3 linked regions of the Drosophila melanogaster genome follow. The protein of the gene in region 2 interacts with the protein of the main gene of each other region in a pairwise test. Each region holds a gene or a part of one and is shown on either strand. Other genes may lie near its edges.

Region 1 (9,939 bases), on a different chromosome or scaffold from region 2:
TCGACTTAACGACTAGTTTATGGACCATTAAGGGACCTGTTAAGCCATCTGTAATGGCTGTGACTCACATGGCACTGGGGTCCGACCAGCTGAAGTGACGCTTTATCCTTTCCAGGTCCATGATGGGCTGCTGCGTCTGCTGCTGGCTCAAGGTTGCCTCTTTCTTCGGCGCCATTTTGCCGTTTCCGAAAGGGATGCACTGGTCACTGGGCAATGTGATTCAATGGATGTTGCGAATAGCAGTTGCACAACTGGTTTGCCTTCCGCAGCTGCCAGTAAATAGTCTTGTTTATTTCGATTTGTTTCTGCACACACACCGAACTGTTTCTCACACTGAAATTCGCGTGCGCCTCCGCACAAAACAAAAGACTTAGGCAGCGAACTAAGACTTCATATTAGGCGCGAGTGAGCGAGCGTTTTTTTTTTTTTTTGCCTTTAGCGGTTTGCTTTGTCTTGTAACAGCTGTTTTCTGGTTTTCAAACTCAAAACGTGGACTCGAACGACAATCGTGAGGGCGCGGCGACAACAGCGTGCTTTAAAAAAAGAGCGCAAGTAAAATACGTAATTTGATTTATAACTAACGCTTCTTTCGTATAAGGTACACGTAATAAAAGAGCACAAAGTGATATCGTTTTCTTGTAGCTATATATGCTGTAGCTATAGCTTTGCTGCCGATTTATACTGCTGCTGCCAAACGCGCCGGAGTCGTGAACGAAACTGAAACCCCAAGACGCGCGCATCAGGCGCAAGAGCTGCCGAAATGCGGCAAAAGCTGCAAAACGAGAGAGTTGCCGAGAGTTGATGTTAAAAAAAGAGACCTGAGATCGTGGGCCAGAGAGAGAGAAAGGAAGAGAGAGATTGTTTTTTATACGATGTTGATATAGTTTGTTCACATAGATAAACATGCATGGCTTTAGTCATGCACATGGAGCAGTGAAATATCAAAAATCGAACATACCGAGCCAACGAACTTGTTGAGGGAATGTAAATTTGTTAAATTATAGCAAAGGTAATTAGTTAGAAAAGCTGTGCAGATAATTAAATAAATAACTGGTGTATAGTATACAGTATAAACAGTAATATACATTTAACATTTTATATTCTTGATTTAAAGATGACATTTTTTTGGTTCAGTGGGAGTGTAAATAATATAAATAATATATTTCTTTTTTCCAGAGTATCAATCTATTCCATTCTATTTCCATTACCCACACTACTTCCTCATTGAAGCACTTATAGCACATTAATCAACAAATCTTTGAAAATGAGCTTAAAATTAGCCGTTTGAAAATCACATTTTCGACTAGCTTCGGCTACGCCCACTGGGCTTCATTTAACCATTTTTCACGGCACTTGTTGCGCCTTAATTAAGTCATTACACGATACCGTTAAGAGTTCCCCAAAGCGTCTTATGGGTCCTAAATACCAACCTCATACTGTCGCGTTACGCGCCACTTTAAAAATTATGAACTACACAGCAGAGTGATGAACTTTTAAGACGATTATCATGCGGTGGTCGTTTACCCATCAACGGAATGGTTTCTTTATGGCAGTAAAATAGAAAGATATGTACTACATAAACGAAACTTAATTAGTAGCGCTAATAAAAAGCGAAGCTAAAGCCATTCGGTGAAAACTTCTCTGCATACGACTTGTATAATTCACACATTTCACGTCAACGTGACAGAGATCAAATTAGAAAACCGCATATTTTTCGACATCTTCATTTAAAATACAAAGGGAATTTCACGCTGCATTATTTAGGCATTACAACCAATCAAATGAATCACAACAAAGTCAAAACAAAGCAATTTTCCCGATCAGAGGTCAGTTTTCAAGTTTTCGAGTTTCCGGCTCAATCGGAGGGGTCAGTGAAAGCGGTGGTAAGTGTTGCGCAAATTGCAGCAGAAACTAAATAGCCGGGACTTAAAATAAAACCTTATCTAAATATTTATGTCGTTTTCAATAGACCGAAATTGGTATGCAAATGGCGGGCGACAGTATGTCGTCGCATTTCCCAAAATGCAAATTGCCTGCTCTCTTGGCCACAAAAAGTGCTCTTTCACTCGCCGCAAAAATCGGAGGATGGGTTACCTCATCGGCGGGCGTCGTTAAATTGCAACAATTACGATGGCGGCGAGTTGTCGGTGTAAATGAAAATCAATGAAGCGGCTAACAAACGAAGAAACGAATCGAGACATCTACGAATGTTTGCCCAAAGAAATGATCGCTTAAAGTGGCGCATGAAAAGAAAGTTTAAAGCACACTTTGTTTGCCGCCTGCTCTTTGATATCGTTTCGTTGGCGGTTTTGAATTCGAATTTTTTTTGTGTGCCGCCGTGTCTGTGGATTGGTAAAACTGCATTTGATAATTACGCGAGTACCTCGGACTCGGGTGATTCAATAAAGACGGCGACCACTGGCTCCATCGGCTAGCCTTTCCCGTCGATGCCGGGTAAATAACCAAAATTACAAAACCACTCTACCACCGACTGCGCCAAAGAATTTGTGTCACAAGTTGCACAATGCCCACAGCGCCGACACTAGACTACCGCCGTACACACGGCGTATGAGCAACGAGTTGGCTGTGGCCATAGCGAACAAATACCGCAACTGCCGAAGAAGTAAAACTGCAATTTGCAAACATTACATAAGCCACAACTCCACGACTGGGCGGTGGACCGGCTTGGAAGAGTCGCCTTGACGGAAGTCGGGAAAAACACATTTCCAGGAGGAAAATCGGTTTTCCAAGTGCATGAAATTAGATGAAAAATTTTGCCACAGACGGGTAAAGTGCGTATAAATTTCAAACATGGTCAACGTCCACCAGCGAAGTATGTAGAGTAAGCCAATAAGTAAATTGGCCAAAAGCAACAATTATCTGTGGTAGTTGGTTGTATGCATCGGAAGTGGAATTCCGTCCAAACGACACCATAGTTTATGGCCACTTAAAAGTGCATTTAATGCTCTTATTTGTAAGCAACCTCAAATGGCTTAAGGTGTAAATGAAGTGCTAAGAAATAATAGTTAAATTGGAAAATACTTAATGGCTTATAATTTAAAGTACAATTAACAATTACTATTACTATTATTACAAATATAGTTTAAAATTATAGGATCTCTTTATTCTAAATACCTAAAAATATTTAAGTAATCATACAAATTTTCTAGTCTAAGTCAACGAAAATAACTTATATTTTTAAATTAAAAATAAATTCCCCTGTTTGAATTTTGCGCACTTGACGCCTATATTTGTCTCGCTCTCCGTTTGCTGCTTATTCAGTCGCTCTTATTCCTTTCTCTTTCTATATGTACTTTTGTTAATAGATGGCGCTAGTCGATGCTTTTTGGCGCCCACTATTGAGAATTCAAAACCGCACGCGTGCGACATCTAGACGGAAAATGACAAAACTAAAACATGTACCGAAGATATTATAGCGTAACAAAGAGTGGTGAATGTATTAAATAAAGCAATTGTTGAGCACCATAAAAAGTTATAGTATGCAATCACTGTGGCAGACAATGTTTCCGGGTTGAGGTAGGTTCTTTTTAAACCCCTCTGTTCATTCTATATTCAATGTGTTCTGGTCATTGCCCTGCAAAATTAAATTAATTGCATACAGTTTCCTTATCGCAGCAATTCTGAGAATTCCAATTTTCTTCGCGGTTTGTTGCAGGTTACTGATAAGCCGTCATAATAAAGCGAAAATGATGTACAAATCAACAATGTTTTCAAATACCACTTTATATTTATTTTAATATGCACATTTTCAAGATCTAAGAAAATATTTAGTTTGACCTTAGCAAACACCAGTTAAGTGTGGAGCGTTTATGGTAATAAAACGGTACGGATCGCAGCAGACAGTGTGTCCAACGTCCTTCGTATTAAGGTTAAGACCCGGATGACAGGGTATCACATGGCAGATCTGGTTTAATGCCTGCTGATTGGGTAGACTTACGTCGTTGTAGGTCAGCATTACCCATTTATCTCCGGAGAGATGGCTAACTATCTTGTACATCCACTCTGGCACGGGAATTTTGTTATTATCCAACAGGTAAATTGGTATCATATTGTTATTGGTATTATGTCTTAGTCTATGCACTCCCAATGCCCCAATGCAAACCTTAAGGACATCGTAAGTACGCGGTATTTGTACATTATTGATGATTGGATTATCATACAGTCCCCTAACCATATTGTTCACCCAGGTCTCAACGGCCTTCCATTTGCCACGATTAACTCCTCGATATTGGGGGATAGCGTTTAGATACCTGAACGTTGACTTCTTCAGCTCTGTGGATATAAATGCAGAAGCCGGTGTCATGTGGCCACGATCAAATTTACACTGCGGCTGTACTGCGCCCAGGTTAGTGAGCAAACAAGCTTGTGTTGCTCTTCCCTCGTAGGCATTGTCAAATCCACCACTTAATTGATCCGACTGCCAAGTGGGATTGGGACGTGGAACGGCTAATAGTACCAGGTTAACTACTGTTTTTGCACCAATATTTTCCACTTACTGTTTACGTAGCGATAAGCCTTGTAGATGGAATGTTGAAACGCCAAGCTGTAGCCATCAAAACAATTGCGATACAGTTCCATAAAGCGTCCATTGAAGGAAAATCCTACGGCGAACGTAGCACTCGGAATGGAACAAGATGTATCTGGTACTTTTACCACGACAGGATCGGGTGGTGCACATGCTGCTGAGCTTAGCGCTGGACTGAAAACACTGTCATATCGACACAGGAATGTGGTGCGATGAAGTCCTCCATTGCACAGCAGATACAACGTCTGGTGGATTTCCACAATATCACTGCGCTGAATATCATAGACTCCGTTATTTTGGCTTAAGTACACATAATTGGCATTCAAATGAGCCAAGTCGATTAAGCAATTCGCTTGAACACTTCCTACAACTTAAGATCAGTTGAACCTCTGATAACAATAAAGCTTATTCTATATATACTCACAGAAATACAGGCTTAGAATCGTCAACATATACTTCAGATCGGGCATCTTCACAGCTTAAGGTTGATTTACGAACTAAGAATTCTGAAACGTTCAGAGCGCGGTCAAGCCAAACGCATTTCTTATCAGCATCGTATTCGTCATTATTCTTATCTCTTTAATTCAGAAAATCCCAAGATTCCTCAACGCGGCCCAATGATAAGCCATCGCTGATTAATAACCTATTAGTCGGTCAATCAGCTTGGAACCGATGTATTTCCAAAGATGCATTTATTTTTTTCAATGAAGTTGAAATGCATTAATATGTTTATACACTGAAGATAAATAGAAACCTCTACACATTTTCGGTATTATCCCAGCACACACCTGCCAAATTAGGAACGTTTCTTCTGATAAAGTCAATTGGATCACAGCAGAAGGTGTATCCAGTTCCGGTTGGATTCAAAGTTCTGGGGCAGGCAGTAACTTTGCAGACTGATGCTGGGTTTGGTTGTTGGGTTTCCCACCCATTGTTGGAGGTCAATATCACGTACTTGATGCCGGTGGTTAGGCTCCTAATGATTTTGTATGTCCATCTGGGAACGGGATTTTTGTTCGGTGCTAGGTAAATCGAAACAGATTTTTGGCTTCTGTTCAACAAATCAAGAACACCCAATGCCCCTGTGCAGACATTTAGCACATCCTTTTGTCCTCGAACCCAATTCTCAACTATCTTCCAATTGCTGCGATTAATATTGTAGTACTGGGGAACGACATTCAAGTACTTGTTGGTTTGTCTTAGGATTTTTGGGAAGCTGTAGTCGGCAACCGGTGTAAGGTGACCACGATCAAAGGAAAGACTTCTGGAAGAAGGCACATATGTTTGTCCAGATCCAAAAAGATACTCAAATCGATTGTAGATACTATTCATCTGAAAGGTAGCCTCATCTGCAGGAGTTATGATCCCATCCTTATCGAACACTGTTGGCGGCCGATCTGACTCTGGATTTTGTAATAAAATAGTTGCAATTAGCGAGTAAATAAGCTTAGGGTATTATAAGAACTAACTTAAATTGGTGGGGTAGACCGTGTTGATGGAGAAATACGCCTTCATGGTTCTCGCGTCGTAGCAGCTGCGATAGAGCTCCATGAACGTATTTCCGTATTTGAAACCAACCAAATACATGGTGTGTGGACAGATATTACTCGAAGTTGGAACAACGGAAGGCGGGATTGCCTTTGAGCAGTTCGTCCTGGGCAATGGTGGAGAGAACTGGCCATTATTCCGACAGGTGGAGGTGAACACCTGCGCATTACCATCGCACAGCAAACTTATTTGCTGATTTGGTTGCAATTAATCCGTGAGCAAGAGCTCGTAGCGATTGTTAACAATGTGGACAAAAAGTCGATCGGTCCATGTTTCAGCCTGTGTGATCTGGCAAAAGGACTTGACATTTCCCACAGCTGCAAGAAATGATTGTCACATTAGTTCACCAAAGAATCTTATCGTCCTTGAGCTTACTTAGGAACAAGCTCAAAGTAATAATTAGATATCGTAGCTCGTGCATCTTCATGGTACAAGCTTGAAAGTAGAACTGAAGATATCGAAAAATAAGCTTAAAGAGAAACTTCTGAATGATAAGATAAGTAGCTATATTACAATAGGATACACAAACAACACAATTGAATGTCTTATCTTTGGAGTGTACATTTTACAGCCAAGTATTTAATTAAATGTACATATATTAAGAGCTTATCAGTTCAATGCCACACCAAGCTTCCAAGAATTGGCATCTTAGTCATATTTATTTCGATACGATTTATATACATATCTTTCAAACTTCTGCATACTTTTGGGGTACATACCAAAGATATCAATGATTCAAGTTGATTTTTAAATGGCTGATTAGGCTCGCATTGATAATAATTAGAGTATGCATTAAATTCATTTAATTACATAGTCATAACAAAAACCTCAGAACAAGATCGTTGGGAAAGCAGCCTGAATAGCAACCAGTTTTTTTTATTAACTGCCTTTACATCATTAACTAAGCCCAGAGCTTTGTACATGTGTATACAGACCACGGTTTCTGCAGCATCGCCAAGCAAACTGTTGGCCACTTTCCACTGCATGACTGCTCCAAGTCAGAGGATCGGGCAAACTCATCGCAGCACGCCCGCATAAACATGACCTGATTGATGTTGGTTTTAGTTGGCCATTTATTTGTTATTTGCACGCCACATGGCAGTCAGGGTCTCTCTGCAGGCATGAAGCAGAACGAAGGACTCGGGAGCCAGGACCAAGCCAATACCGATGGCAGTAGGGGACTAATGGATGAGAAGCTGGCTGGCCTGGTACATCTTTAAAGTGCACTCTCGGCTTTAAGTGGTGTGGCTAAATGCTGCACATTCAATTTGTCACATGCCAGGGTGCCGCATATTTGGACGAAATATTTTCGAATGTGTCAGAAATTTTAGAGGGAACGGTGGGCGAATCCCCTCCCCATAGCGAACATGAATTATGCTTATCCACGTGTTAGGCACAATGGCCAGCCGACCTTCCTGACGGCATTGCCACAACCTAATATTAATTTGCTGATTTATGGGCGCCCAGGCCACAGCGACGAGGCAACTATAAATTTTAATGAAAATTTAATAAATGCGTCGGACAGAGGGACTTTTTTGGTCGGCATTGTTAGCTGGGCGCATTAAAGCCATAATGTGTGTGATGGGGTTGTGGCTTTAAGTGGCGAAAATTTCAATATCTGACGCAGCCACAATAACAAGTCATTAAAAATACAAAACACATACATAGCGTGTACTATGGATTACAGCAGAATGCTTCGAAAAAAAAAAAAACCAACATAAAACCGACCCCGCAGAAAGGAAACCTCTTCAGAGCAGCCGCAAAAACAAACTGGCAGGCCGGCGAACCGAACTCCGAGCTCCAAACTACGAATTCACTGGCAGAGGATCCTGGGACTCACAGACGGTCGATACAAAATAGTTAAATATTTTATGCCACTGCTATTTTACGCTTGTAAATCAGAGTCCAAGCCGCAGTCAGACATTCAGACATGCAGACATTCAGCCAGTTAGACAGACGGACCGAGTTTGGTTCAAGCTGGGCAAAACCAAAACGTTGGCATCGGAAGTAAGCTGAACTAGTTGGCCTCTGCCAACCTGGCAGACGACCGCTTTTGCATATGTCTCCGGAATTGGTATAGGGATTTGGATTTGGAGAGGGAGTGTGTCTGCCTTCCTGGCCTCCTGGAGCTCAGACCTGTTTAATATTAAAATCAAATTCCTCGAGATAAATCTCATTTTGGCAGGCCCAAACAAATATTTGCCCGGCTGTGTGGCATGCAACATTAAATTATTTACCGATCGAATGCAGCTGCCAGTAGTTGAAGTAATAATACGATAAACGCTTTTCCATGGAATGCAGCAAATTAACAGTCATAAATTATATTAATTGCATTGCCATCCGGTTAATAATTTAGCAAACATTTCAGTTTTCATGCCAAAGTGTCTCAGGTGTCGAAAGGCATACAATTCAATCTGCACTTTGTAGGTGGTCAGGAAAAACATGCCTCCGGCTGACTCAGAGCCTCGTCCTGGAACAAGCCAAACACCATTTGGTCCGTTTTCTTTTTTGGTGTACCTGAAGGGATAACCCCTCCACAGCTTCTTTGCCATGACCTGTTTAGGTAAAACGGTACAGCAATACAGGCTGACAGCAAGTTTGTAATGGATATCGATATTTTTCAGATAGTTCGGGGTGAGGATGCCACGGCTCCGGTTCCATCAAAGCAGCAGCTATCCGGACCGACAGTCGGTCCTTCGTGCTGGCTTGCAGCGATTTTAACAAACAAATCAATTTATTTGCCAGATTACAATTTACGTGACTCCGTTACAAATTGCTTTATTTATTTAGCACAACACAATAAATACAACCGACGCGGGCGGAGTAGGTGGCTGGTGGAGTGAAAGTCTAGCCTGGACTGAAACAAAATGTTGCCGGGCAAATACATCAATTAGACACACAGAAGCCGACTAATGCAATGACTAATTGAGCACACGATATGCTCACATGCAACGCGGAAGACGGCCTAAGGTTCTAGTGTCGGCCTGAAATAATGAACTAATCCTTTACACAACACGGTCCAATGAAAATCACTTTTCATGACAGCACCAAATCGCATTCAAAAGTATTAATTAATCTCAGCCAAATAGAATCTTTTGCAAATGGAAAATATTTTATGACAATTTCACAGCGGATCTGCTATTTTAAGTTGTCATTTACCCGTGGGCTTAAAAACCACAAAATCAATGAGCGTTGTGCCACAAACAAACGCCAACCATCTATGAATTCCAATTCATCAAGTACAGCACAACAATTAGGAAGTGGACGTTGGATGTTGGACGATGGATGGTGGATAGGAAAACAAAGTGAGCGGAGGCGGGATAAATAATGAAAAATAAAGAGAATCGATCTCATTACTTAGCAACGGCCGGGAGCACAAAGCCGGTTGAAGTGGCTGCAAGTTTAATAACAGCAATGCTCAAAACATAAGCCACAAAGGCGGAAATCTCATATAAATGTCCAGCGAAAGCAAACAGAACAAAAGTCTGCACAAAAACCCTAGCCCGAACCCGAAAGCAGAACTCAATCAGGCATAAAACATTAAAAGCTCCCCAAGTAGCACGAAAGAAATGGCACAGCAATCGCTCGAAAGAAAAGGAAATCTGGCAAGCTGAAAGGTGGAGCTGGAGGTGGATGTGGAGGTTTAGGTCCTGACCCCCATCTTGGCCAGAAAATAGCTGAGGAGGCGAAAAACTGTAGCAGAGGAAGCGGAAACAGTGCAAGTTAAAGTTTGCAGCGAACGGACTCCATCTTTGAATTAGTGAATTTCCGGTGGCAGCAACTGTAGCATCTAAAAATGTTTTTAATTCTGTTTCTATTTGTCTTTTTTGTTTTTATTTTTGTCG
Region 2 (13,879 bases):
TCTTCGGTAAGTTCCTATCAAATTGGTTACATTTCAAATATTGGTTTGACCATCGATGTATTCCAGGTACCCTGCTGTGCATTGTAATCGTGGCCTGCAACCTCTTCGTGGCCCACACCTTGCTCTGTGTGATCGGAAGGAGTCGCACGGCCAAGCGGCATATGCACTACGACCTGGTTTCCAGGGACAAAAACAGTGCCATCAGCATCGATCCCGAGAGCAGCAGCGGCACCACCCTCTACCAGACGCAGCTGAGCACCGGAAGCGGAAACAGCCATCGCAGTGTACAGCCGGCAAGGCAGTACAGGCACAGCGTTAGCGTCACAATGGCGGCCACCGACTCCTCGCCAGTCGAGATCAAGTTCGCCAAACTAATGGCGTTCCTCAGCATCTCGTTCGTCATCTGCTGGATGCCACAGATGGTGAGTACTGGGTGGATACCATTCTAAATTTGCAGATAGTAACTACTAAACGTCTAGTATCTTCAACCATTCCGTATTATGCAAATCTAATATAATATAATAAATTTACATGGCCTTTATCAACAATTATCTCCGTTTTAGATCGCCATCCCGTTGGCTATAGCTCCAAATCGGGTGCCCGCATCGAACAAGTTCTTCATCATCGCCGATGTTCTTACGGCGCTGCACTTCACCTCGGATCCGTATGTCTATGTGCTGAGTCGCTCCAAGTCCATCAACTGGTCCTTGCTGGGATGCATTAAGCGCTGGAGGAGCGGATGGCGTCCGGGCGGACTTCGTCGTTCCCAGAGCGACCAGAGCCGCATGCGTACGACGATGACGGAGGCGAATACTCTGGAATTCAACTGATTCCACTCGATCTTCATACCGCGCGCCCCCAAGTACTTAATCCCATTTCCCGACTCAGTGGGATCTCACTCAAAAAAGCGTTTCCGCCTCCCTCGGAGCATTCCTGGGAGTAGCGCCTAGTCTCGTAAGCTGTAAATAATAAATATATCCCACTTCGTATCTTACTATATCAAGGCTTTCCTTATATGTATGTATTCTCACCTCACTTAATCTCTGTACCGATTTGTAGCATTAAATATAACGCTTGTGTAAAAAGATCAAGTATTAAATGTATTAATTGTGCGCTAAAACGAAATCGTACAGCCCTCATAGATATATACACTGCTACTGAATCTCATTTTGCAACAGATTGAAAGCCAATTTCCATATCCCGCAATGACACACAGGAATCGTGTTTGTTTTACAACTAGTTTTGTTTCTTTGTTTATTATAGAATTTATATGATTACATAAGTTGAATGGTTGGTTCGCTGGCTGGCATGGTATGCGTTCTGTGAGGGGGGAATCGGGTAGGTAATACGATTCTCGATTCAATTAACTTGTTTGTGTTCTCCCTCGTCAGTTTCAAGAAGCTTCGTCGTACAATATATTCAACTGTTTCAACTAAAAGTTGACCGTCTTCTTCTCAGTTTCCATTCATTCAGTGTATATGCAAATTGGGATGCAAATGTCAAATTGCGGGAAGAGATCGATTTGATCTGTTCTTTCTTCATCCTCCTCCTGGGCGTGAATGTAAATTTTTTCTTGTATATTAAGGTTTATGTTATGTTAAATTACGAATTCCTTCGACGTCTACTTAGTAGCGATTGTAGCGACCGCGGGCGCGTTGTCGCTGCGGCGTGGCCTTGGCTCCGGCGGCAGCGCGAGCAGGCGTTGCCTTCTTGGCCGGAGATGGAGAGGCGTCTGCCGACGTTGCCGCAGCTGCGGGACTGGCAACAGCGGCTGGAGCAGCTGCCTTGGTCGGAGTCTTGGCTGGGGTCTTGGCTGGTGGTGCAGGTTCAGCCGGGGCAGGAGTTTGGACTGGAGCTGGCTCAGGTTCGGGCTCTTGCTCGCCCTCCTGACCCTCTTCCTCCTGGGCTTCCATCTCCTCTTCGCCGTTGTCCTGGCCGGCGCCATCTTCCTCGACCTCAGCCTCGGCTTCCTCGTCACCTTCGCCTTCGCCCTCGCCCTCAGCATTATCATCCACCATCTCCACGTCCTCGTCATCGCCAGTGGCTTCCGATGGATCGTACAGCTCACCCTCAGCGCCTTCGGTGGTTTCCTCGGCTGCGCCCTCGGCAGCCGGAGCCTCTGCCTCCTCAACCTTGCGCTTCTTACGCTCATTCTCCTCCAGGGCGGCAGCTGCGCGCTTCTGTGCGATCTTGGTATCGCTTGATTTCTCGTTGATAAACTTCAAGAAGTTGCGGTGATGAGTCGCCGTACGGGAGTGAATCTCGGCGGTCACCTCGGTGTCGAAGAACTTGCTGCACACCGAGCACTCATAGCACTCCAGCTTGGAGATCAGACCGGGACCGACAGCACGCTGCCAGTTGTACTTAGGTAGGCGGGTATCCACCTCGCTGGGGATCTCATCGCCGTCGTTGAAGTCAAGGATGCAGTCCTCGGGGTCCACGGGCAGTGCCACTTCCTCTTCCTCTTGGCTCTCGTTTAGCTCATCGCCCTCCTTTGTCTCGTCAGCAGCTTCCTCACCCTCCTTGGCCTCTTCTCCCTCGGCTTCATCACCTTCGGCACCCTCGCCATCGCCGGCACCCTCCTTCTTAGCCTCGCCATCGGCTGCTTCGCCCTCCTTCTTGACCGGCTTCTTCTTGCGCTTCTGGGGCAGGCGCAAATCGCGGGTCTCCTCTTCTTCGGTGCTGATGGGCAAGGTCTGGCGCTTGCGCTCACCCACCTTGGTGTTGTTCTCGGCAGCCTTCTTCAGATGCTCGGCGGACAGCAGATGAGTATCGTAGTCAATGCGAGTGGCGAACTCCTTGTTGCACTCAATGCACTTGGGGTGCAAGAACTTCTTCAGCTGCAAATGTCCCTCCGACTTGCGATGGGTCGAGATGTGACCATGGAAGTTCAGGTCGCACATGGTGCAGTAGTCCAGCTGACGCTGCTTGCTTTTGCCCATGCGCTTCAAGCGGTCAAACTCGATCGACTTGAGCTGCTCTGCGATCTTAGCCTCCTGACGGATCATGTTGGCCTTGAGGCGATAGCTCTCCTCAATGCCCTCACGCATCATCAGATGGGTGCGGCCCTTGATGTGGTTCTCGAAAGAGTTGGCATCCCACATGTGCTTCTTGCACAGATGGCAGTAGAACATGTCGTTCGGCACACTAGCGTATGGAGACTCCTTGGTAGGGCTATTAAAATTGATCATGGATCATTCGATTTGTTCGAGAAGGAATAGAAAAAGAAAGATTCATTAGTTTTCTAATTTGAAATTCATAGACGGGAATTCGTCTGGTTGTCTGGCTATTGGGAAGAGATTATTATATTATAGGAGTATAGTGGTTCTCGCTGCAATTTAGACTTATGATACGTACAGTACAGGTGGCGATAGGTGATACAATAATAAATGTTTTTAGCTATGATAAAAATGCGTTACTATAGTGAGAATGATGACTTTGCAAGGAGAAGAAATATGCCACAAATTATGTTTTAAACAAAATTATTAGGTATGTAGAAGCATGTTTCTTTTCTTATGAAATCTTACATTTATGATATATTTATTCAAAATTTATATTCTTCCAAATCAATAAAAAAGGAGAGGAAATTTAATATTATTGTGAGCTTATACATTTAATTTAAATATTTAAGCATGAATATGAAGTTAAATTATAAAGTTCTCTCCATTTTAACTTTAAAAATATTTTTAAAACTTTTAATGTGCACAAAAGTCAAAGAAAGAAAAGATTATATTTAAACAATTTCTTTTAAGGTAAATTATATTTTAAAAAATTAGTATGAACTTGAATAGTATGTAGTTTCAACACATAAATTTATACATTTACAATTCCCTACCCAAATGAGTCCCCGCACAAGTTGCCCCACATACACACAGTTTTATAAACAGCATCAAAAAATATACTATCCCTAATGAAGAACTAATTCTAATTAAATATACTTTTTTTTTTAGAGATGTATGAGGGAACGCAATTAGAGAATTGGAATGCCTAAGTACTTAAGTAAAAAGTTGTTATTCGCCCTGCTAAGTTCGTTATTTGTTTTGATATTAGTGAAAGAAATCAATCCTTTCGATTTTGGGCAGCAAAATATTTATACTTTTTGTTGTGGTTTTGGTTTTGTTTTGGAAAAGTTGTTGTAAGTCTTACCTCTCGATTTTCTTTTCGCCAGGAGTGGGTTCCTTCTTTTTATTTTGGTTGGCATTTTTAGCCAAAAGTTTCTTGGCACGATCAAAAGCATTTTGCTTGCGAATACCGCCGCCGCCCTGCTTTGGCGGGGGCTTGGGTCCACTACCAGTGGCGCCACGATTTTGGAAGCCACCTCCCTGGCCACGACGGTTATTGAGACGATTGCCGGCACCGCCGCCGCGACTGACCATCTATACATTGTTTCGTTTATCATTTGGGATTGACATTAAAATATTTGCACAATTCGGAATGCGCACATGGGGCATATGTGAATTGATATCGTTTTGATTTACAAACAGAGGCATTAATGATACAAAGCATTTTCGAAAGATCGGAGACAATATGGCGCGGTTGGCCATTTACAATATTGTGTGAGGGGCGGAGCGATCAGATTGAACACATTATAGATAATTGTGGGAATAAATCGTTGATATATAGTAAAGTATACATAAGTACATGGAGCACATGGTATATATATATTGATTTTGGTCAGATCGACGGGGCAGTTGCGGCGGCCAATCAGTCGACGGGGATAGGTTGATATATATTGCATAAACATATATATATATTAATTCGTTGGCGTGTGGCGGCGAGTGGCATTTAAAAATGGAAATCGGATTTTGAGTTTCAGAGGCAGGAACGTCGAAGAAGAATTTGGCGATGAATTGGCATTAGACATAAAATATTAATAGGTATTTCATATTGTGGTTTTGGATGTAATTATGTTGCACCATCAAGCAGTACCAGTACCAGATCGGATCAGTTTCGGTTTCAGAGCAGAGCAGATTAGAAGATTGCATGGCGATCAATGTCAATCGATTTGGCAATCGGTCAATCAATCAATCAATCAATCAATCAATCAGTGGCGTCGCACGGGAAGCATCGTACAGTTTACAGTATCGCATCGTTGGTGAAGATTCGCATATTGGCCACAACGTGTGTGTGTGCATCGCGTGTGCGTGTGTGTTGAGTGCGTGTGCGTTGCGTTTTGCATTCAATTTCATTTGGATATTCGAAAATATTGTTGGCCGTCAATGGGGATTAGATTTTTGTTGATTGCAATGGATTATTGCAAATGGGAAGAGTCATCATCGACGGCAACAACAACGCGCAACAGCGACAACGACAACAACAACCACAACGACAGCAGCGGCGGCAGCAACAACAACAACAGCAAGTATATATGCCGGAGCAGCAACAACAATATGGAATGCATTATTCGAAATATGCAAGACGATGCGGTTTCGATATTCGATATTTGGAGGTGTATTGAAAAGCATCGAATTTTTGAGTTTGGCATTGTTTGGTTTTGGAAGAGAGAATAAAAATAGATAATTGATAAATTAGAAAAGCGTTGTGGCAAATTGAGTTCGGCCAAGAAAGTTTCTTTTACTTGGCAATGGAACTTCGGAAATTAATTAATCGAATTATAAATATGGTAAAAATGTAATTAAATGCTTAAGTACAACTAGTAAGAAAATATTGCATATAAATTACTTATGATTCAATCTTGACATATGGAGATCATCATCATACTCTTTTCATCGTTAAGTGGAACAAGTGTTGGCGGTACATGTTTTAATTGGTACATTTCGCTATCAATACGTGTGTATTATTTTATAAAATTGTCATTTCTTATTTTCGGTGTAATAATCAGGTTCTTATTCGTTTGTGCAGTTTCTACGAAACAAAAAAGCATTGCATTTTAAATGGAATAAATGCGTTTTTATCGAAATCCTCCTAATACCACATTAATCCTAATGTTTGACAACCTTACATCCTACACTGCACAAAGTTCTTATTACTTTTTTCAATATTCTTTTCGCTGGTTTTCGTTATTTTTCAGTCGTCGGTTTAGTTTAGTAAACTACAAGCTAAGATTAGGTTTAAGATCATTTTGATTTATCTTTTAAAGGAAAAGCATTAGCTACATTTAGCAATATTACGATCTAACTAAGGGTAAAACACAAAATAAAAGGTTCTGCTGTGGAGAGCAAGTATATTACCAAAAGGTATACACGTAATTACAAAATGTTTATACGATTTAGGCATCCTAAGTTGAGTTTATATTGAGTACAACAAAAGTAAACAGACAAAATATTAAGATTACTATGTGCTTTGAATTGAATTCTACATGTTTAGTAGAATTTTTTAAATTATTTCAACATATGACACTCCACAACAGAAATACGATTCGCAGTTCACGAACCCATAAATAATAACAACATAGGTAAGTATAACAATTCATTCGGTTGGCATTGTCAACTAATTCGAGAATAAGTAAACTTTTGTACATACCGGGCCACCACGTTGGTTGCGATTTCCCATGCCACCGCCGCCGCGGGGCAAGTCGAGAAGCGATGGTGGATTCTGGTTCCTGAACAGATTGTTCAGCAGATTGTTGGCCAAGTTGATGGCCTGGGCGTTCATCTGACCGCCACCCTGTCGCATGTTGTTACCAAACTGTCCGCCGCCGGGATTCTGCGATTCCCAAGGCGACATGTTCATACCGCCCATGCGGTTGGCGCCCATGGGTCCACCATAGTTGTTGTTGCCACCTCCAAAATTGCGGTTGCGGTTCTGGTTACCACGGAAAGCCATGTTGCCGTTGACCTTTGCGTTATTCACTAAACGATTCTGCGGATTTCCGTTGACCTTTACGCTGCAAAAAGACATGATTCACTTATCAGTATAACTATAACTTTCTTTCGAAGCGGTAGGGGGACAAATTTATTCAATAAAATTATAATTTTCCAAGCAGTTTAAGATATATTATTCTACATAAGCTGACAATTTTTAAACAAGAACATATCGACAATATTGGAAAAATATAATTTTATAATTAATCACGTTGGAATTGGGAACTAGGGATACATAAATAATTTCGAATATTCGGGGTTGATGTGCAGCATACCTGACCATAATTTTGATGGGTTTTTTTTTGCTGTTTTTGGGAGTGTTTATGGGATGTGTAATGTAGGGTTTGTGTTTAAGCGAGGAAATTATTTAAACAAGCTGAAAGTAAAACGGCACAAAGAACAAAACAAATGTTGAGATGCAAGCGGGAATTCATTAATTTGGGTTAGTAATCGCCAGATCTCTTTATCCACATCTACGGGTAGTTATTATGGAACCGCATCAAAAACCGTAAAACAAGCCAGCGTGCGTATACACACACCACTTACACACACATACACGCAAAGAGATAGGGGAAAAGGAAAAGAAATGGAACAATTTGGCGCTACAGTCAGCAGTTTACATTAATCACATGTAAAACTGGTTTGTGCGACACCAACACATTCACGCCTTTTGGCCAATTTAAATGAAGGTAACAAAAAACACCTAAAATTTATCACTGCGAGTGGAAAAAAGATGGCGGCCCAGACGCTGAGTGTGTATAAGTAATTGATTCAGCCAGAAAGCCGGCCGGCCGTATGAGTGCGAAAGGGAGGGAAAGTTAGAGTACAGAATAGGAAAAAAAAAGCCAAAGACCCATTTAATCGCGATAAAAACATGTTTTGCACCAATGACGTATACTATACGCATTAGTCTAAGCTCTGGAATGCAAATAAATAACGCTTACGACGATAATCCACAATCAAGGCCTCGTAAAAAAGCAGTTACCTCATTATCACATTACTTAATGCACAAATACACGCAAGGAGCCCCAGGAAAATCAATAATTACTATTTTCAGACGCCCGGGTAGCAAGTGAAAAAGTAAAATTTTCGCCAACAGATACATACATACGCACCAGTTTTCAGTTAGCCTACACAAGTAAAGGACAGAGGCGCAGCGCAAACTGTGAAATTAGTTAGAAACTTACGTGTTGCAACGGCGATTTGTCAAAATGACTGGACTACTTGGACTACAGTTTTCCTCACTTCAGAAAGATGGCCGCCCTTGTCTAAACACTCCGCCTATCCAATATTACGCTCCGATCCGAACGACGAAAGAAAATCGAATCACGTCTGACGCTGCGCTAGAGATGGTCGTGCGCGAAGTATCGATAAAAGTAATTTTCATCACTATCGAAAAGAAGCACATAGATATTTTTTCCAGATCTAGATGGCAGTGCGATAAGCTAATAAGGACAAAATATCGATATTTTTTTGGTATAGACCGTAATATTTTCAAAATTTGTGTCTTAGTTATGTTAGCTTTAAATAAAGAAATGTTTTTCAAAAGAATTTCCGCTTGTAATCCTTGCATAAACTCTTATACAATTCTATCATAAAGCCACTTTTAAAATTTCTCGGATCCTTTAAGTGAAAAATGCGCTTTTAGACATAAAACGTTTTTCTGTAAAACACAAAAAGCGTTAAAACTTCGATCATAGAACATAATATTATTAGCGTATAACAACGGATATATAGAGCTATATTCCATCGCGATAAAAGAAATGAACAAATTATCGTTTTATTCATATTTTTATTACGAATTTGATCAATTGCATATATGTATATTTAAAATTTCGTTTGGAATAAAATTAGTCCGCTGTGTCTTGCATTCCCATTTGAGCCTTGAGTCCTATACAATAAAATGATAATCATCCTAAGTGACTTGTAATCTTGTCATTTATGGCCAAGTCCCTTCCCTTGCTGGCAAAAGTACATGTCCATTTATCCGCTTTCCTCTCGCAATCATACTTGTATGTCTTGGTCAGAGAATTGGGCTTAAGTTGGCACTTTCTAACATCAGGACTCGGCATGAAATCATTTTTACTTGTTCTATTGTCAAATATCAAGTACACTGTGCCAAGATGTGGATCGATGGGCGTTCTTGGGTTGTTTTGCCTAAAACGTTTGACCTGAGCACATACGCCCATGGCAATCATTTCCCTTTCCCTTTGCGCGACAGGTGTATCCCTCTTGGGAGCAATATTTTCATCGTTAAAATATGCGACGTGTTTCTGAACAAAAGAGTCTTGCGGACATCCTTGCGTTTTCGTATAATCTGTTATCCTTCTCGGATCTCCTTGGAAGTTATCCCGCTTGCAGTCGTAATTAATAGTTAGTTGTGTGCCTACATTAATTGCTGTATTCATGTAACTTAATGTTTGTGGCGTAAATTTAAAGTTGCAACTGTTCTCCAAATCACACGCCATCTTCGGCGCATACCGTGCATTATCGTCAAGCTTCCTACCATTATGATACAAGGTACCCTTTTTAACCACGATATGATACCCTGGATTACACACCAGTCTGCATTCTGTTGGAGGATTTGTTAAGTGAACCTCCGCTTCTTTTGCTGATGTCTGTTAAAAGAATAAGAAATATTTAGTATATACAAAATAATGACCCAGTTCAAACTTACTAAATGTATCAATAATAACACTAGGATCGAACCCAACACTCTTGAAGTAACTGCCTTCATCTTACCGACGAACAATGAACACTGAATTATGTTTGCTCAGAAAAAGGCCTTTTATACTCATCGTCGCAAAATGAGACCCATCAGCAAATCTGTTATCAAGCTACGTACATGTGTACATACATTGAGTACCTTTCTTGTGACCTTTGGGATGAATTAGAATGTCTGAAATTTTGGTTTTGCGGAGTGTTTTGCGGGTAACTGCCTTAAATAAAATAAATTGAGGTAATTATTAAAATACAAAAGAATACGGTTCTGACAATACATGAGTTTCTTATCAATATTCCGATGAAATATAAGCATACTACAATTATTGCTTTCCTTTGTAAACTTTGGTAATTGTTTTTGAGAAATCCATCTTGTTTCTTATTCGGTCGGTATTAATAATAAAGTAGGCTTTAATTATTAATAAAAATGTCAAAAGCCAAGCTGAAGAAAATATTTAATTAATCAAGAGAAACACTATGGTTACTCAAACAAAATCACTATTCTATTTGATTCATATCAATAATATTTTATAAAGCAATAAATAAAAATATAAAATACATAATAATAATCTTAGCACACACACCAGTTCAATAATTTGAGTTAAAGCTTTATTTACCTGAAGTACGCTTTTATCTAAAAAAATTCAAAACTCAACTTTCTAGCTCGTGTAGTTCTCTAGAACTCGTGATAAAGAATTTATACTGTACTCGCGGACGGACAGAAATATATTCTGTCTGTTTCTTAATACGAAAAAGGATACAGAAATAGTTGATTCCGAAGCCGCTGATAAGCTGGTTTTCCCGTTAAATTAAAATCGAACATGTAAACAGATTTTCGTTTGTTTTGATGCGACTATAAGTTCATGATTTGATGATTCAACAAATTCAAGCTGAAAACTAATCTTAATTTTGTGTAGCTTTATTCAAATAGACAGAAAAAAAATCGTTTCGATTTCTTAGTCCATTGTTTCCAATATTCCGTAATTTTGAGCAGTACCAAAGAAAAGTTCCAAATTTGAATGACATCATTCGATTTTATTGAATTTGCATAAAACTGGCGCAGATAATGCGACTCTGCACCCTTTGCAATGCATAAGCATCGTTTGATTTACATACAAAGGGATTAAACATAGTAATTAAACGTTATAATAGGCAATAATCATATGTTCTAGCAATAGTTGTTTGTGTGTGTTTAGCATTCGTATTACTGCTGGCTCTTGTGTAGTTAATTAATTAAGTACCACAGCGTAAAATGGGCTCAACAAAAGATATGGGTGGCATACTTTTCTATCTCGACCCTTTATAATTTTGTATCCCATTTATTTTTTGGTTTGTTTTGTGTCTTTGTTTCAAGTGCATGGGCGCCACTAAAAGGCCTAGGGAGATTTTGTGGGGGTGTAGAGGGATCAATTAGGGTGAGATATTTATATATCCATACACATTTCACATACATTTACAATTATAATCGATTGGGGGAGAGCAGATGCGAAGATGCATTCGCCTTTCACTTTTTAACACACATTTTTAACGTCTCTAGTTAACACAGAAACTACAAAAAATGATAACCCACAACTCGGATAGCTCTCGAAATCGAATTTTCTTCGCAACATCTAAGCCGCTGCACCGTTTACAATTTACAATTGGCTTAATGTAAAACTGTTCAATACATTTAGTATTTAAAAGAAAATTGAAACTTTCTTGAAAGCTAATGCAATTTTGGACTTGCGAGATATCCCAATAAGTTTGTGACTTGAAAGTGTAGTAAACGGATATACAAAGTATATTTTTGAATAACATTACTTCTATTTTAAAGAAATTGATTGACTAATACATTTGAGGGAATACTTTCAAGTCCATAGTGATTTCGAGAACTCTGCAAAATAAGTTCGCGTTGATTTTTCGTGTGCTGGGTCTGGGGAATAGAGGGTGTTGGGATCGGTTGGTTGGTAGCATTCGAGCCTCCTAGCCACCCACAACGTATTTACAAGACGACCACTGGAAAGCCTCCAGGTGCACCTAGTAAAAGAATAGCAGCCGTTCCTGGGCAGAGGCGGAAAGGAGGCGCCACGATCGCTTGATGCTGACATACTGTATTAAAGCGCGTATGCTGATCAGGAAGCCAAAGGCACAGATCAGCCACCAGAGCCAGGAGTTTTCGTGCGAGGCCAAGTCCGTCGAGTGCTTCACGATCAGCGTCCATTTAGCCAGCGACAATCCGAATCCCGACAATGCTCCATATCGGGCGGCGATTGTGTGACAGAAACAGGTGAGCATCAGGAAGCCGATCCAGTTAAACAAAAAGGCCACAATGAAGGCCGTGATGAACATGATGTCCGTGCCGAGCAAGTTGTCGGTGGTGGACAGACTATTTTCCGGATCGCTGGCATCGATGGCGATGAACGTGAGTGCCGGCTGGGCAGATCGCACAGCAGCGGCTCCATCGCGCAGCGGATTTGGCGGCAGTAGCGGATTCGGCGGCGGCGGTAGCTGCTGCGAGGAGGGTAAAGTCAAAAAGGCGGGCGGCAGCTCTCCGTTCAGCGACTTTTCCATTTGAACCTCCTCGTACGTGGGCAACTTCCCGTGTATTTCTGGCGGCAGTTGTGCATTCATAAGGTCCGCCTGGCTCGGCAGCTGCACTTGCATCTGTATCGGGATCTGACTGGGATCGGGTGTGGCCAAGGCCAGCGGTGGCATCTGAGCCGGCAGTGCTACCTGCTGGCCATGGCCAACGTTCGCCTCGTACGGTGGCGGAGCACTGAAGTCCGCCTTTGGCGGTCCCAACTGATCATCCCCGGGAGACGGCTGGTTGTTGTGCGGCATGACTGGAAATTACAAACGGAAAACGGGAAAATTAATTCAGTGCTTAAGGGGTTACAAAGCATATGAATTTTTTTGACAGCCTAAGGTGACGTCTCAGAAAAGAAGATTCTTAAGAAATTCTTTTCTTTCTTACATACTAAATTTAAGATATCCTTATTTTCGTGTAGCTTAACAGATCAACTGTTTAGTATTTACATGCATCTCTGAAATAAAAGGAAAATCAAGGCCATGGTGAATTTTGTGCAAACTATTCCCAATCAAATTCTAAAGGTATTCGAAATTTGCATTATCTAAATTGAAAGTAAAGCTGGTGATTTAGTTCTCGCTTTTATTGACGATATTAGTTCACGCGTTTTTTTTTTTAATAAAATTAGGTGTATAATAAATAAATGGGCGGCTAGCTGCCAAAATTGCATTGAATTATATCTAGATTTATTTTTATCTCTCTCTGAGCAATCAGTTTTCGTTCGTTAATACTTGATCTAAATGTGTTATAGGCACGTCAGTAGGCACTTAGAACTACGGCATTCGCCATCTCAATCAGATGGCAAAAATAATAGTTTCGTTTAGCAGTTAAAATAAACAGTTGGACATGTTAGACATTTAAAAACAAATGAGCAGCCAGGCTAATTAGTTAGCGCAAAAGTTCGTTGCAATGCCTGGGGCGATTGGAGGCTTTCGCTTGAAGGTGGGCCTCCTCCAGCGATAGGATGCGGCAGGGTCCAAAGGGACGTCTCACTGGACGTAAGGGTCGCAAGCCATCCACCTCGTCCATGCCCTCGTTCTGACAGCCACCGTCGGTCGTTGTGGTTGTGGTGCTGTCGTGCAGCTTTTGTTTTTGCAGCTTCTCGTGTCGCAGATACAAAACCACACAGCACATGGCCATAAACAGAAGGGCCAGCGTTGCTCCGCTAACAATGCTGGCCTTCTCTAGCATCACACGGTTCCTGGTTGGCAGGTACGAGCCATCAATCTCCTTGTACTCGCACCTCGGACCCATAAATCCCAGCGCACATTCGCAGTTGTATAGGATTTCATTGTGGATCTTCACCGTAAAGCAGGTGCCATCGTTCAGGCAATACCAGGCGACATAGGTCGGTGGACAGGCGAAGATCGGGAAGGTGACATTCGGTCTCGGCGTTGTGGATATTTCCACATTATCCGGCGGCAGGATCGGTGCAGCTGTTGGCCGCGGCTTAGCGATGGCACGCGAGGAACAGGCGGCGGTGAGCGGTAGGTAAGCGCCGATTAAAGCGGTGGCAAGCAGCAGCAGATCCTGGGCTCGCATCTTGATCTTAACTCATGGCAGCTTACTTGGGAATGTGGCAATGCAGTTTAAGGTGTTTTGTAATGTGGAATTCTTGGCTTTGGCTGGCAGGCGGCTGCAAAACAAAAACGAAGTGCAATTAAAAACAAATCAAAAATGTAAGCTCGTGTTCGGGTCTGTGTGGGTTAATTGCCTGCCTAGCACCGCCAGCCGCCTCCTTCTCACAATTACAACCTATGCTCCTCGA
Region 3 (9,374 bases), on a different chromosome or scaffold from region 2:
CTTAAGTGAGGATTTAGTGAGTAAAGATTCTCAAAAATAAACAATTATTCTTAAATTTGTAGTAGCAAGAATGTGTTAAACTTCTCACTTTCAAATTATTAAATAAATCTAATTTAATCAGTATATATTGTAAACATTAAATGCTACAATAATGCATATCTCACTAAATCCCATTTAGAATAATTTCTTCAACAAGCCAAGTAAATAATAATAATAATAATTAAAAAAAAAGTAATAAATATAGCAATTACCTAGGTGTCCATTAGACCAACCAAATCCTCTTGGATGCGCTGCCAGCCGAACTCCATGCGGCCTTCTTCCAACTTGAGCCGACACCTGTCCGGAATGTGCTTAAAAAGCTGACGGAAGGGACCGTATTGCTCCAGGCACTTAATGTCCCCCAGTAGGATGAGCTTGTTCTTGGCACGGGTAATAGCCACTGTGAGACGGCGCTGATCCTCCAGGATCTCTGCCTCCCGTGAGCGTTCCATGTCAGAGAAATCACCACCTGTTTTGGAGCAGCTGTATATGATGAGATTTTTATCCCTGCCTTGGAACTGATCCACGGTGTTGCACTCCAGGTCGGTGTCCAGTTTGGAGGCGAGCTTTTTGAATAGCTCTACTTGAGCGCGATATGGTGCTATCACGCCAATCCTGGAGGCTTCGTAGCCCGATTTTAATAAATATCTGAGCAAGTGCATCACTATGCCCGCTTCACAGTAGTTTGTGTATTTGGATACTCTCTTTTTGGAAGTAAGCTTCCTAATCTCATCTTTGTCCTCGCTAAAGCTTTGCTCTATGGATGAGCAGGTATCCACCAGTCGCTGGGATGCATAAACGAATTCCTGGCAACGCTCTAAGCAATCCCCTGTATTTATCAGCGTGACTGCCTGCTCTAAATGAGTGGTTAAGGCACGCTGCACCCATCTGGGTGCTTCGTTCAACAGTTCGACTTCAAACCTCGCGCCGGACACCTCATCCGATGCACACTTAAGGTCTCCTCCATAGGTGAGCTCATTGGCCAGCCGGGTGATGGTTTTGTTCATGCGGTACTGTAAACTCAAAACGGCGGTGGCCTTTTCCGAGTCCAATCTTTGGAATAAAGTCTCATCCGCTCCCCTTTGTCGGGCTTCTTTGGATCTGACAATCGGCGGCAACTGTTCTGGATCTCCCACAAGGACAAATTTGCTGCAGTGAATCAATGGACGCAACACGGTGGGCTGCAACACCTGCGTGGCCTCATCCACGATGCAATAATCGAACTGACGACGCTGAAAGAGCGGATGTCCACATCCCAGACAGGTCACTCCCACAATGGAAGGCTGCCCTAGAGCCTTCTCCAATTCCTCTACTGTTTTGCAGTCTTTTGTTAACCTCTCTTCGCTGATTTCCTCCAACTGCTTATGAATCCTAGACCCAGAGCCCAATCTCATCATGGGCAATCCGAAAGGCAGCAAACGCATGATCAGATTGTCCACAGCCGAATGCGTTTGTGCTGTAATAAGCACACTCTTTCCGAGAAGATGGAGCAGTCTGACAAGGGCAACCAATGTCTGGGTCTTACCAGTGCCGGGCAGTCCCTTGATCAACAGGTGACTGCTGGTTGTCAAAGCACGCAAAGCAGCATTTTGTTGCACTTTGTTAAGATTCAGCAGAATGGGTGCTCCCTTGGTGAGGATGATCTTGGGCAGAACTTTGTGCTGCTCTGGTGGCTTCTTGGCCACAATAATATCTCTCAGCTCCTGGAAGCGTTCTCCCTCGGAGAGCAGCATACCAAGATTGGTAAAGTTAAAAGTGGCAAAGGACTGCGAATCGTGCTTATCAATAATAAAGGTCTCCTCGCTATAACGCTGGCTAAGATCCCTCTCCAGCCGAAGATCCAAACGACGAGCTTCTATAGATACAATAAAACCAGCAGCAACGGCCAAACGGGATGTGGAACTGATTACAACATATTCGCCCAAGTCGAACTGAAAGAAAGAGTTGAGATAAGAATATAGTGATCTGTGGATTTTGTGGCAAAACATACCCCACTGAGGCTGAGATCTCGACTGGGATCTGCCTCTTCACCGAGCTCCAAGGTCTGGCGATAGCGTCCCTCTTCTAATATCACTTCTTGACCCTTCACTAGCTTCAAATGTCGAATGGCTATGCCTTCTTTTTCTCTCTCCGCAGGGTCCTTCGTCCAAAAAGACCTCACATGCGAGGACTGCCGATTGTGTTGCTCTTCTAGAGCCAGCAAACCACACCAATGCTGCACGTAGGCATGGTCTGCCTCACTTAGATGCTCCAATAGCTGTGGCATGAGTTTCTTGAGGGGATGTGAGTCGCTTAGCTGTAAACTTGAATCCTTCTGGGCGAAACTGGAGCAAATGGTATTGTAGGCACAATTGCCGCAGGCGCTGTGATGGTAAACGGGTTCGGGTAGCGGCAGTTGCTCCAGTGGATCCTCCTTGCTAGCCGGAATGGCTACTTCACGTGTTAGCCAGTAGGCCAGATCATTTCTTAACATAAGGAGATCCCTCTGTTCGTTTCTCCCGCTAGCAACTTCTCGTAGGAGTCCCTCTTTGAGGTACAGAAGCAATCCCGATTGAGTATCCCTGCCCTGGGCAGAGTGCATCAGTTGGTAGAGCAGCAATTGGCCCTTGTGTTCCATGGAGAAGCTGGCTCGGCCGGTCTTCAGTTCCAGTGGTATGATCTCCTCCCTCTGCCGTTGATTTTTTACCTTTACGGAGACATCCACCTTACCCTTGAGTCCCAGTTGTGGAACCCAGAGGTTCTCCTCTATATCGCATATCTCGTGGATTTGACCTCTATAGACTTCGGGCAGCAAAACACTTGGCGGTTCACCCTTCACATATTGGGCCACAAAACTGACAATGGGATCAATGAATTTCATCAGATGATCCTCCATTTCCACCTGGATGAGATTGCTGGCATAGAGTAAATGAGCCAAAGAAGAGCTGGCCAGCATCTCCTGGAGGGCAGATTGAATGTGTTTTTTATCGAAGAGCTTCTGGCGTAGAACCTTTTGCAGCAATTCGTGCACCAGAGTGCCAATGACCATCTGAAATGGAATACATTCTGGATAAATTGGGTTATGCTGATATCGAGATGTACTCACAACAGAGTTTCCCGAGTCCAGACCGCGAAATCGTTCCTGCAGAACAGATTTCCGTTTGCAAAACAGGGAACCGGTGACTGTGGTGCCGGAAATGAGGAAATCCGGATGGGACACGCAGTAGCCCTGCTCCTTATCGACCACATAGCATCCTGCAGACGGATCCCACTTGCCCAACAGGGAGACAGTGTCTCCAACTTGCATTGGCATGCAATTCCACGGCGGTAGCAGTTGGCAATCAGCTGTCTCCGGATCCCCGCCAGAAATCCTCTTAACATGCACTTTAAGGCCTTTTCTATTGGGGAGCTGCTCCAGCCGCACCACTTCGCAACGCTGCCACTTGGTGAGCTCCAATCGATGATTGGATATAGAATCCATAGCTGCAATCAGCGCCAAATCGAAGTCATCATTGTCACCCCAATCAATGTTCTCCACTTCGTCTGACGAAAAATCCAGTTGCTCTTTGAATTTCTTTTGTGGATTGGATGACGTCACGTCAGTGTTATCATTCTCCAAAATATTAGGCGTCAGCACGCGTTTGGTGGCCATCGAAGGGGCTATTTGTTATTGTTAAATCAAATTATTTACTTTATTTCAGTTATGCGTACAAATGATTTGGCGGGAACAGAGTGACTGTTTTCTGCGTGTGGTAAAATACTTATGAACACACCGGCGCCTCGTTGCTATTTAGCTAGCTTGTAGCTATTTAAAAATTACCGCGTGTTTTAAACTAAAATCTCCTTCTATCACTAACAGTTGTTAGAAAATGAAGTAATGTGTATCAAACAATTATTTAATATATAAAATTGCTTAAGCTGCCTTCTGCTTACTTTTTGTTTTCTTTTTATATGTATATATTTGATACTTCAGATCTAGCTACTAATTTTAGTCATCTTAACGAAGTACAGGTGGCGCAGTTGTGGAAAACATCCGCACAGATGGCGACAATTTAGCGACATATATTAAATTGCTCGTGTTGATTTTGAATTCTTATCACCACCAATTTTTAAATAGATTTCAATATTATAGTTAATTTAATTTAATTTTAATTTATTTTTATCCTACACAAGAGATCGAAATGTTGAAGAACTACAACAGCTTAGTAAAGCAGTTGTGTTGTGGCAAGCAGTTCACATTCGGTGGAAGTTCGTTCCAGAAAATTACCATAGGTGGCGCTTCAATTGGGCGCCCAATTCGATTTCCTAAATGCAACAGATACGACGAATTATATAAATATTCTTAGAAATATCCAATAAATAATTAATTTCATTTGGTTTTCAGGCAAAAGGTGCAGATACTGATACGTCTAGTTATTCCTTCGCTCTCGTATTTGTGCAGCAAACATGGCTGGCATTCAGTGCCTTAAAAATTTAAACAAATTAGTATACTTTTATATGAATAACGTTTTTTAAGCAAACCTGTTTCTAGGGTGCTACTTAGGTGCGTTATATAGCTGCTGGCCAGGCGGATGATCTCGATCTTTGAAAGCTTGCGATTCATGGGCTCCGTGGGTATTAAATTTCTTAATGCCTCGTAGGCCGAATTAACACTGATTTTGTTTAGGAAAAAAAGAAAATATTAAATGGTTAATTGTTAATAAATACACTTTCAACTAGGGCTATGTTTTGCTTATTAACATTTATATACTTTTTACTCACTTAAATGTCCGATAGCGCTCTCTAGCATTGATCTTCTGGCGCGGCGGTCGCCTCCTGTGATTTCCCTGATTCTCCTGGCCACCTGGATTGGCCTCCTGGCCAATCTGGGAGTCCTCCGAGTCGGCGGCTGCTCCACTTCCGCTGGCACTGCCACTACTATTGCTATCCTGGGCAAATACCGCCATCAAGTAGTTGGAAAACGACGACGAGGACGATGAGACCGCCATCCGTTAGCAGCGGCGATTGGCGAGCAACTGAACGGACTCTATGGCCGAGCCCATGACTATATCCACTTCTATATGCCCCGGCTGCATATTTGGGATCTGCTAAATGAATTAAGTCATCGGCTAGTGACGACAAATTGTGCGTGAAGATGGGAAACAATAACGAGTGCGTTTTCTTCGCTAAATGTGTGCACTTGTCAAAACAAAAAGTGAAGAATGCCGGGCACTTGTGCGATACTAATTGTGCATCAAGTGGCTGGCGTACCAAGGATAAGTAACATCTATATATCCATCCCCATTTGTCCATCGGCGATTTGTTGGGCCAATTTGTTTGTTTGCTTGTGGAAAACGGAAGTGGCACTTAGACCCTGACCTTCCCCTCCCCCGCTACTTTTATTTTATTTTATTTTTGTTTTTGGTTTTTCTGGACCGCACACATGCCACGCATGCGTTACAGTAAGTCATTCAGTTAGTCAGTCAGTCAGTCAGTCAGTCAGTCATTCAGTCACTTATTCATTTGCTCACTCAAGCAACGCAGTTTTGTATGGAATGTGCCGAGATGGATAATCCAGATATTTATAAACCAGATTCGAGAAAATCGAGAGGGTGTGCAACGAAGCAACTCACTGCGAAATTGTACAAATATTTGCAAACGTTTCTTAATTGCCCAAAAACATTTCTCACATTAATTTTTAATTTTAAAATACTTGGCCATCATAGTGTAGTATAATTAATTGAACGTAAAATATGGATGGCTTGCCAACGATATTATTAAATTTATTCACCTAATCAAATGCATTCTTTGCGTATTTTCAAACAAAAAGTTCAAGAAATCGGATTTCGTACAAAACATTGAAAATAAACAAATAAATAAACAAATATGGAATGCTATACCTTTCTAAGCTCGTAATTAAATTCCCATGCAAACTGTAATATATTTAGTATTTTGGGCACAGCTTAAAAAATATTTGTCCAAATAGCGAATGTCATACCTCGCCGAAATCGTAACTAAATTTGCAATCGATCTGTGTTCAAAAATGAAAACTTTATTTTTTGGCAATTTTTTGCAAGTTTTGATGATGTTACCCCTTACAAAAAATGCAAAAATTGACCAAAAAATTAATTTTTCTAAATTCTTCAAAAACTGATAGGGATCATAAGCACTGGGAATTAGCTGCTCAAAACAGTTGTTTTTACATCTATATGAGCATTTTTAGCCAAGTTATGATGAAAATTCCGTTTGTAATTATCAACTTCTTGGCAAAATCCGTTTTTCCGAATTTTGGTCTTCAAATAATCAGTTTTTTTGCTACAACCTTAAAAATAAGTGTCTGAATATGGAATGTCATATACCGTTGTGCTCGTATTTAAATTCCCCATCGAACTGTATTCACAAATGGAAATTCAATTTTTTTCAGATTTTTTGCAAATTTTGATGATGTTACCCCTTACAAAAAGTGCGAAAATTTACCCAAAAATTAATTTTCCTAAATCCGTCAAAAAGGGATAGGAATGTTTAGCATTGGTAATAAGCTGCTCAAAACAGTTATTCTTTTATCTCTACGATCATTTTTAGCCAAGTTATGAAGAAAATCCGCTTCGCAAACATCGAATTTTAGGAATTGTCCAATTTCCGTCATCAAATAATCAGTTTTTCTGCAACAACTTTAAAAATAATTGTGTGAATATGGAATGCCATATCTCATTCTGCTCGTATTTAAATTCCCAATCAAACTGTGTTCAAAAATAAAAATTCAATTTTTTTCCGATTTTTTGCAAATTTTGACGATTATAAAAAATGAGAAAATATGCCCAAAAATTAATTTTCCTAAATTCTTCAAAAATTGATAGGGATCGTTAGCACTGGTAATTGCTGCTCAAAACAGTTATTCTTTTATCTATATGACTATTTTCAGCCAAGTTATGACGAAAATTCCGTTTGTAAATATTAACTTTTTGGCAAAATCCGTTTTTCCGAATTTCGTTCATTCAAATAATCAGTTTTTTTGCCACAACTTTAAAAATAATTGTCTGAATATGGAATGCCATACACCGTTGTGATCGTATTTAAATTCCCAATCGAACTGTATCCACAAATAAAAATTCTATTTTTTGGCCATTTTTTACAAATTTTGATGAAAATTAACTCGAAACTCAATTTCCCTAAATCCGCCAAAAAAGTGGTAGGAATGGCTAGCCTTGATAATTACCCGTTCAAATTGGCAATTCCTTTAGTTTTAACCCACTTTAACTCATTCTATGCCGACCATTGCAAATATATTTTAGAATACTTCAGTCTATAAATGAACATTTTCCCCTTTTTAAAAGATGGAATACACAGAATATGAAATATTTATAATCATTTTATTTTATTTTATACACATTTTTCGAAAGTTTCACTTAGCTAGCTAGAAAAAAATCATAGTTAGAAAAACACAATTCGCTTAGGATTATGGGGAGTTACAAACAAATCCAGGGGACACAGGGAAGTCGAACAAGAACGGTTCTATATATATAATAGGCATATCGAATCGGTTTTATATATTGAGTATGCTTCAGTGAATGTGCGTGTTTGTGTATGGGTGTTTTTGGGGCTCTTTGACCAACAACAGCAAATAAAAAAAAACATTAAGCTCGGCTACATTTCATCTAATAGAAACTTGACGTGTCTTCTGCATCCACTTAGCTTTCTTCTTCATCATCATCATCATCATCATTATCTTCACATTCATCTTCTTCGTTTCGTTTTCGTTTAAAATAATTAAAAATAATAGTAAATAAAACACCACAGTCATGATTTTTTTTAATAGAACACAAAATATACACAAAAAGGAGAGAAGAGGTCAATTACAAATTAGGGAAATTGGGTTTAGGAAAAGTGGTGGGGGAAAATTTGCAAATAGCAAAATATTTACAAAAGCCGTTGAAAATTTTAAAGATATGGATAGACGGGTCAGGGAAAATAGAGATATAGTACTAGGGCAGGAATAATTGTATCAGGCGTTTCTTCTTCTAAACATATTCATATGAATGTTGTTTCCATACTTTCGATTCGATTTTGTTTCTTTTATTGATACATATAAATAAAATTCTTTGATTCGTGTTTTTTTTTCTGCCAATTTTGCTTATGGTTTTATAATTTTTTTTTTGTGTTTAGTTTGTTTTAACTAATTTCGTTTATGTTATAAAAAAATTTGCTATGAATTTAAAAAAAAGATGTTGACATTGCCGGGAAATTTCTTTGATCGAACAAAATTCTCTCCGTGTGAATGAGTGGCCGTGTTTGTGTGTGTGTGTGTGTGTGTGGGGTTGTTGTGAGTGGGTGTGTGGGGCATTGGAAAGGGGGTTATTTCTGGGGTGAGACAGAGGGAGATAGAGACAGACTTTCGGGGCGTTTGGGGCTAGCGAGTTAGAGAGAATGATCTGCTGCATTTGACTCTGTACAGGTTGGTGACTTGACTAATTCGGGCGAGGGCGTGGCCGGTGCTGACCCTTGACCTTAGATCAGCGCCGTTATCAGCTTGGCCTTGAAGTTCACGAACTTCTCGCTGGTGGCCGCAACGCGCTGCAAACGGGTAGGTAACATAGATTTCGTTAGATTAATAGCACATAAAACCCTAGTTACTGTTACTCACCAGAATCAAATCCTGGACGAGATTGGCCAGACCGCGATTGGCCAGCACCACGAGGCGCGTGACTGGGCCGGGAATGCCCTCGGTGTAGCCATCGGCGTTGCGAGTGCTATCGCCATCGGCGTCACCATCGCCGCCCAAACTGCCGCTGCTACTGCTGCTGCCGGCACTGCCGCCCACCGAGTTGGCCGCCTCATCGCCCTGCTGGGTCTGAACACTGCCCGAAAAGAGCTGTTTGTTTGTTCGTGGAAGTAAAGTATACCAATTAGATGTCTGGATAACGGTTGAAAGTTCAGCCAACGGGTGTGGTACTTACCCTCACCACATCCAGCAGGAAGTTGCCGGAGCCGCCGGCTCCCAGAGCATTGCCACTGGGCGAACCTCCTGCACCGCCGCTTGAGCCGCCGGCGAGACCCGCACCGCCAAAGCTGAGGAACCTTTTGAACAGATTACTATTGGTCAGGCCATTCCAATTCAAAGCGTATGTTGTTGATCGTTATTGATATTAGTATGTTGTTGAATTTCGTTGTTGAGGTAATTCCATTCGAATTTGTTGTTGGTTGTTCAGTGTGATGCAAATGTTGTTGAGTAGTAAATTTATATTTATAAGTTGTTGAATTTTGTTTCATGTTTGTTTTGTTTGCAATTTATCAGTTGGATTTCCAATGTATTAAGTATTGTTGAAATGTTGCATCATTGTTGAATTGTTGTAGGGGTGGAAAGGGAAGAAAGGTGTATG

Evidence for each region.
Region 1: the proteins of Pep (region 2) and Sid interact in a two-hybrid assay, tested with the Drosophila melanogaster proteins (one large-scale study listed by BioGRID).
Region 3: the proteins of Pep (region 2) and CG33557 interact in a two-hybrid assay, tested with the Drosophila melanogaster proteins (one large-scale study listed by BioGRID).

The regions. Positions count from the first base shown.
Region 1 is NT_033777.3:28,665,815-28,675,753, reverse strand, and holds Sid (stress induced DNase), read right to left. Parts: upstream 5,051-9,939; 5' UTR 5,017-5,050; coding exon 4,971-5,016; intron 4,917-4,970; coding exon 4,518-4,916; intron 4,468-4,517; coding exon 3,800-4,467; 3' UTR 3,733-3,799; downstream 1-3,732. Other genes in the region: snu (snustorr), read right to left, coding at 69-175.
Region 2 is NT_037436.4:17,636,880-17,650,758, forward strand, and holds Pep (protein on ecdysone puffs), read right to left. Parts: upstream 8,158-13,879; 5' UTR 8,012-8,157; intron 7,201-8,011; 5' UTR 7,108-7,200; coding exon 7,100-7,107; intron 6,848-7,099; coding exon 6,484-6,847; intron 4,377-6,483; coding exon 4,147-4,376; intron 3,175-4,146; coding exon 1,626-3,174; 3' UTR 1,224-1,625; downstream 1-1,223. Other genes in the region: CG7497 (uncharacterized protein), read left to right, coding at 1-6, 67-422, 564-830; CG43085 (uncharacterized protein), read right to left, coding at 8,735-9,442, 9,502-9,561; Ndfip (Nedd4 family interacting protein), read right to left, coding at 11,562-12,365; Krn (keren), read right to left, coding at 13,000-13,653. UniProt on the Drosophila melanogaster protein: May play a role in the process of early and late gene activation, or possibly in RNA processing, for a defined set of developmentally regulated loci.
Region 3 is NC_004354.4:10,004,867-10,014,240, reverse strand, and holds CG33557 (uncharacterized protein), read right to left. Parts: upstream 5,032-9,374; 5' UTR 5,007-5,031; coding exon 4,780-5,006; intron 4,671-4,779; coding exon 4,540-4,670; intron 4,483-4,539; coding exon 4,388-4,482; 3' UTR 4,192-4,387; downstream 1-4,191. Other genes in the region: Dna2 (DNA replication helicase/nuclease 2), read right to left, coding at 252-1,970, 2,030-3,067, 3,125-3,670.